Danio rerio: one gene and its partner. The protein of the gene in region 2 purifies or fractionates together with the protein of the main gene of each other region. This does not show direct contact. Links are inferred from orthologs where the notes say so. Each region holds a gene or a part of one and is shown on either strand. Other genes may lie near its edges.

Evidence for each region.
Region 1: the proteins of nfkb2 (region 2) and chuk purify together in Homo sapiens (affinity purification with western blotting; 4 studies listed by BioGRID and IntAct, with this or other methods). This does not show direct contact. The link is inferred for Danio rerio from reciprocal best matches to the Homo sapiens genes NFKB2 and CHUK.

What each region holds. Positions count from the first base shown.
Region 1 is NC_133188.1:28,592,396-28,596,057, reverse strand, and holds part of chuk (inhibitor of nuclear factor kappa-B kinase subunit alpha), read right to left. Parts: intron 2,827-3,662; coding exon 2,699-2,826; intron 1-2,698.
Region 2 is NC_133188.1:25,863,749-25,867,510, reverse strand, and holds the start of nfkb2 (nuclear factor NF-kappa-B p100 subunit), read right to left. Parts: upstream 2,400-3,762; 5' UTR 2,220-2,399; intron 1,829-2,219; exon of another isoform or gene 1,764-1,828; 5' UTR 1,725-1,763; coding exon 1,708-1,724; intron 1-1,707. UniProt on the Homo sapiens protein: NF-kappa-B is a pleiotropic transcription factor present in almost all cell types and is the endpoint of a series of signal transduction events that are initiated by a vast array of stimuli related to many biological processes such as inflammation, immunity, differentiation, cell growth, tumorigenesis and apoptosis.

The sequences.
Region 1 (3,662 bases), about 2.7 Mb from region 2:
TTATTTTCTTAATGAGTTATAGGTGTGTTTTGAGAATAAACCAATTAGAGTCTCATCTCCCATTACCTTTAAGAGTCAGCTGCGTCGCGCCAAGAGCGCATTCGCTATTTACAGGACGCAAAGTAAGTTTAAGTGGAAAAAAATGAGCATTTCACAAGCAAACACTTAACAGTTGACAGTTTTTTAACAGAAAACTGTTAAACAGAGCATCTACTGCGTGAGAATGAGAGATAATGGATCTACTTTCACATTCTCTCTTGGATAGGGAAACCTTTACGCACAGACATCAATTAGTCTATAAATAATTAATTTTGTTTGTTAAGCGCAAATATTCGTTTCAAAACTATTTCTAAATTCAGTTCTAATTTCCAGCAAACGAATAAATGAACAATAATAACAAAATGTGCTCAAAAACCTGAGTTATATCCTAAAACACATGCTGTGCCTCATATGGTCTTAAACCTGACAGGTGGGCAAATCTAAGCTTGTTTTTAATAAAACAAATATAAATATGGATATATTAAATAATACTGCTAATAATAATACCATTATACAAAAGCAAATTGTTATGAATGAACTGAAAAAGCCTCCCGAGATGAAGAAGACATAAAAGCAGTGGTTTTTCATATGTATGTAGGCTAGAAAATAATATGTTTCGTAATATTTTAATCCTTTATATTTATATCTATTCTTATTATATCCTATATATATCCTTAATATTTAAATTTTTTCATATGTAAAGATATTTGCCTATTGCTCTCTTGTGCGTATTAAGCCGTGTGTAAGCGAGGCACAACTCTGCGCCGGAGTTTAGACCGAATTAGTTTTGGTCTAATGAAAAATCTATTATAGTTTCTTAAAATAGCAACGCGCCAGCAGTGCGCCTTCCTTTTTAGACCAGAACGCTTATGGGCGCACAAATGAGCGCTAATGCATTTGCTATTTAAACAGCGTAGCGCAACGCCTCAAAACGACTCTTGCGCCAAGCTGAAACTACCAAAAGACTACTGCACCCCGCCTTGCGCCACATTGCGCCGGGTGTATGCTTAATGTGCGTAACTACAATAATCACATCGCAATGTTGAAATCATATGCTGGGATTTTAGTTGACTAAGAGCCACAGTTTAAAACCTGTGGGCTTTCACTGCAGAGTTCAACTAATGGAGTGAAGGTTTATCCTTTGCATGTGTTTTTTTAAGGCTGTGACTGTGTAAGCATTCAGGCCCAAGAGAGTTTAAAGCAGGAGTCTCAAACTTTACCATTTAAGTACAAGAATAAAGTGGAAACCTGATGTGATTGATGCATCTTAGGACAACAGTTAGACATTTATAATTCAAGCATTACCCGTCACCGGTGATGATGCCTTCACATATTGCAATGTATATTTTTCTGTATGTATATTTCGTGTTGTGGCCGACGTGTGTTCAGGGATGGAGCATGCATAGAGGCGACCTAGGCGGCCGCCTTGGGCAGCAGAATAGTGAGCGAACCCCCCAGTCCTCACTTTAATCTGCTACACCCACCCCCTCCCTCACGGTCCTTGTGTACATCTGCGAAACGGCCACTTTCTTTTTCACTTTCGGGTTGAGGGTGGCGTGATTGCCGCTTGCCTTGAGCGCAAGCTCAACTTGCTCTGGCCCTGCGTGTGTTTATCATGCAAAGAAATTTGGATAAGACCAAGTTTCAGTTAAAACAATTAATGTCGCATCACCAGGCTATCCAGCATTTCCTCCAGAGTTTCATGCAATTTCGGGTGTTTCATTTTTAATCTTTAGACTTTAACTGCAGTTCAGCAGTTCACTTTCATTCAGCATATTTTCATTCAGGATGTTTAAATGGAATTTGATACTGCATGGCGAACGAAAAGAAAAGCCTCTGCATTCCGTGACTTGCATGATCCTTTAAGGCAGGGGTGGCCAACCCTGTTCCTGGAGAGCCACCTTCCTGCAGATTTCAGTTGCTACCCATATCAAACACACCTGAACCAATTAATTTGGACCTGAATACCATGTGATAATTACAGGCAGGTGTGTTTGACATGGGTTGCAATCTCCAGGAACAGGGTTGGCCACCCCTGCTTTAAGGTAATCAAAAATCGCTGCTTACATGGTAGACTCTTAATCAGTATTATCTTAAAAAGCGGAGTATTGGGGTCCATGTAAATGTATATCAAGTGAAAGTGGCAGATAAAGTCGCAAACTGTCAAAGACAGCCCTATTCTCTGGCTTCAAGCTGTTTCCATGAGCCCTCACATTTCATAAGTGTGACGTGTTCCCCTCTACACGCAACTTTTGTAAAGCGTCTTCATGTTGCTGTGTCAGAATCCTTGCATGTAAAAGACAGCCATACTTTAGAATGCTTAGTTAAAGCAAATGTGATGAACGCGATTGTGCGTGTTGATGAATCTGAAGGGATTCCTCGCTCACCGTGTGCGCTGCTCTGTGCGTGTGTGTATGTAGTCCACTTAAAATCCAACAAGGAAATCATTTTTGTTTGTTATTTGCAGTGATTGTTTTGAAATTCATAAGGCACTAACATGCCTGTGTTTTTATTTCTGTAATAAATATGGCGTTTCGTGATTAATCATGATTAATTACAAAAAAAGCGTGATTAATTACGTCATTGTTTTAACAATTTGATCATTCTATATTATAATATATATAATTCATAAAAAAGAAGGTCTGGAAGAAAAACATACCCCTCGTGTGGCACTTGCAAGGACATGGGGAGACGGGAGGAACACTGGGCTTGAGTCTGGTTCCACGTAGACAGCGAGGAGGGCATTTCTCCGCTCTGACTCACTGAGCTCCGTGTGGTGTTTTGTGCCTGAATACAAACCAGTTACATTTGTTGATTATGTAAAGAACATAAACATGTATAGCTGTGGATATAGTGGTTATTTGACAACTGCTTTGTATTTAAATTGTTCTTCCTATTAGAATTTAAAAGTCAACATATGGTATTTTATAAAAGTAGTTTGAGTTGTTTACATTTTTAATGGTAATAAATAAATACATGTAAAGCTACTGTTTGCATACAGTGATACAAGAATTTAGCACAGCATAAGCGTAATGCATGTAATCTATGCACAGTTCACATGCACTTTTAATTGTTTTTGCAGTACTTAGTTTGTCCACTAGGTGTCAACATTGAACTGGATTGTTGTTTTGTAGTCTGAAAAGAAACTGAGACAGAAAAACAAACAAAAGATGACCTAAAAGATAGTTTAAAAGAATACTTGCATCTCTTCTTTAAATTTGTATAAAATGGTCAATCACATTGTGTGGAAAAATGGAGTATTCATTAACAGGCTGTGAGGGTATACTATCTCAGTAGTAGAGTTTGTTACAACTCATCTTCCATCAATGAAAAGTTTGGGTTTAGAAAGATTTGCAGAAATGGCTGAAAGAAGTCTCCTATACTCTAGTGTTATTTTAAAATATGCTCAATTTCTTTACTGGTAAAGCTGAATTTTCAGCATCAGTACTCAAATCTTCAGTGTTACACAATGGTTAGAGTTAGAAAAAGGCTTAGGTTTAGCTGCATGCGATTATGTCAAAAACTATGGTAATTACAACTTTAAGTATGTGTAACGGGTAACAATTCTAATATACTCATTTGAAGCTTTATTGATCAATGTTGAAAATGGTTGTGCTGCATAA
Region 2 (3,762 bases):
GTGAAAAAAACAGAGGAAAGCCCCCAGAATACCAGCTCACTACTGCCACTAATGTCAAATTCAGAGAAATGCAGGTACAAGAATATTCACATGCTGACATCAACCTTCTCAAATCTGAATTTCCTCAACTTTCCAAATGCTCTTTTAATTCCCTTCCTTTCTTTTGAGGTACTTTTGAAACAAAATTCCTATGATTACCTTTTTCAGCCTTATTTTGTTGAAGAAAATCCAAAAATCCACCTATCTGTAATTTACTGAAAATACACAGATTTCTCATTAGGACAATCTGCGGAACTGACTTAGACTGAACTGTTAATGGGGTGAAAGTCAGGGACTGCCCCCCATCTGTTAGTCAGCCACAAATCTTTTCAAGCACTTCCTCTGTAAATCAAATAGAAATTCTGATGAAGATCTAAAAAATGATCCTTTTAACACATGACAGAAATAAAGTTACACCTCATTACACTTGATAGCATGATTGCACAAGTTTTTTCTAAGCCTGCCACTGACAGGAATGAGGAAGTGTCCATGTCCATCTCTTTAGGATGAGTTGTACCAAGACTGCACTACAATACTAGATACTCTTCACGTACAACCATGGGAAAACTAGCGAAGTAAACTGTGAATTTTCCTTCTGAGGTGTCAGGGCTCAGTTTGAGTTAAACTGTGAGTTTTGACGTCAGAAAAAAGAGAGTAAAACTCTACTGGATCATAACCACATCCTGTCCTTCTTCTTTGAAATGATAGCATCTTCACTTGTCAAACAACCCCTAAATTACAATAACGTCAAATATGAACAACAGGTAAATTCATAAAGAAAATATGTAAAAGTGAGACAATGTTACATTTACAGTAAGGTTAACCATTTGGGGTGATCAGAAATAATTCAAAGCAACAACTATTTAAAAAAAGGTCAATAATAGGTAAATAAAATGACAATAACATTTAGTCTAAAGCAGAAGACAAATTCTCAATGTTAAAATGGTTTTGACATAAAACAACAAAGACCTGATGTCCACCAAGGGGCCTCAGTAAATTGCCTAGAATGACTACAAAATGGTTTGAAATGAATACTTTTTACATAATCCAACTGAATAAAATACTAACAACAATATTAATTAATTAAAATATATATGTAAACCGACATCTAATTACTTTTTTTAATTAAACATAGAAAGTTTTGGAATAAGAAAAAGGTATTTTAGTCTGTTATTTTACTGTTATTTACTGACACTCAAATAAAAAAAGTGTCTCATGGACAAAACACATTCTAATGTTCTTAACATTAAAGACCTTCCCATAATCTTTTAAATAGACACAATATATATATATATATATATATATATATATATATATATATATATATATATATATATATATATATATAAAATAAAAAAAAACTGTTTCAACTGTTCCATACATGATGTTGAATGGCAATTCAATAGTAATGGTTAATTGTTGTATCTAAACCCCCTATTTATTTACATATTGCAAATACATCTGTTTCGACATGTAAAATAGTCTACAAATGTAATAACCTTTGATAAAAACCTTTAATAATTTAAAGCATGCATAGTCTCATGACCAAGTGAGCTGCCAGCATTTATGACCATCTAAACGATGAAATGGCCAGCCATGCCCAATAAAAGGCTGCATATGTTGACAGCTCAAAAGAAAATGAAACAGCTATAGTGGATAAAACTGTACCTTAGTGCTCCAGCCATTCTGTGCTCTCCAGGATCATCCGAACCGAACCTGGGCTCCTGTCAGACCGAAAAAGATGGATCTGATGAGTGATTACACGCTGTATGATGGGGTTGTGATTCCCCTGCAAGTCAGATCCAAAAAGTACATCTGACTTTTGATGGGAATTTCCCACAGACTAACACGAACAGCAGTAAAACATATGGGACAAATCTTGTGCAGTACTCAAAACACATAACTGATATTACTAACCATTGTTGTATAATTGTTAATTATGCATTTGCAGTATCACTGTAACGTTAGCTATACCTTCGACATCATATGAACTGTACAGCATCTCTGCATTGTAACGTTTTCAAAACAAGCTTAAAATAGATGCACTAAGAAACTAAATCCTTATTTCCAAAACAGAAAGTAGACTATTTTCATGCTGTTTAAAAAGAGGCATGCTCTACAACAAAAATCTACGGTACTAATGCAAATATATATTTGGCATGATTGCATATCAAACTAACCTTGCGTCTTGTTTACTAGTTGTCGGGTTGTTTTTACAAGTCGTCGAGTCAACTAAACACTGTTAATAAATTTTCACAGGTTTGAAGACCATAAACAAAACATCGTTTATCCAGTGAATCCAGAGCATGTAATCAACGCTGTATTCGCCTGGATCCGTTCACAAATTGATCGCTCTGTTACTGTGGAAAGCCCCGACTCGGGGGGAATTCCAGTCACATGACGTGCGAGGGGAGTTTAGATTGGTTATGAGGCGGAACAGATTTGCATGTTCTTCAAAACTTCCGGCTCAAAATAGTCTATTTGCTTCTTTCATGAAATCCAGTTATGCTAAACTAAAGGTCAAAAGCAAAGTTTTGTATGATTTGACAAAAAATTCTGATGCCAATTCTGATTAGTTAATAACATTATACAACATGTTTTATACTATAATGTGTAAAAATGTTTTCATTATCGACTATCACAATACAGTCTGAGATTATACTTATTTTATATTTTCATTAACCAACATTGTGGTTTAATTACTAGAGACTAAACAGGAGCCCTTAAAACATTTGGGTGTACATAAGTAGTACACTAAAGGGCCAATATACTCACAACAAAATTCTACTATTTTAGAAGAAAAAACATGTATTTCAACCTAACATTTACACCTAAAAATAATATATAACTTTTCTGTATATGTAGTTTCAATTTGCAAATTTCAGTTCTTCTGGATTTTAAAGATTTGGGTTTGAGCAAAATGTTAATATCGGTTTCATTCTTTAACTGGCTGAACCTTCCAAATTATGTAAAGTATTATTACTTAGTGCATATTTAGAGCATCTTTTTTATCTCCAGAAAATGAAAATTGGTCAGATGACAAATGTATGCATTTGCTGTGGTAAAGATTATTTTACCAATTCATCTTCTTAAGTTAAAACATTATTATTTTGTTGTCTAAAATGTACAGTTGAAGTCAGAATTATTAGCCCCCCAGAATTATTTGCCACCCTGTTTAATTTTTCCCCAATTTCTGTTTAAGGGAGAGAAGATTTTTTGAAAACATTTCTGAACATAATAGTTTTAGTAACTCATTTCTAAAAACTTATTTATTTTATCCTTACCATGATGAGTAAATAATATTTGACTAGATCTTTTTCAAGACACTTCTATACAGCTTAAAGTGACATTTAAAGGCTTAACTAGGTTAAAAAGGTTAACTAGGCAGGTTAGGGTAATTAGGCAAGTTATTGTATAACAATGGTTTGTTCTGTAGACAATCGGAAAAAAAAATTAGCTTAAAGGGGCTAATAATTTTGTTTAATATTTCTGACTTCAACTGTATATAAACTGTCTGAATCCAAAGAAGTGACAAGTGGTCTCTTAAATCGCCCCTATTATGTGTTTTTGAAAATGACCTTTCATGCGGAGTTTAACACAGCACTAATTGAATGAAAACATCCAGCTGAGGTTTAAAACTGAAAGTGCATCATGCTTAAAAAATTGATTCTTTAACAAAATAGTCGACTCATAGTTGAATAAATGAATCGTGTTGGGTTCGGA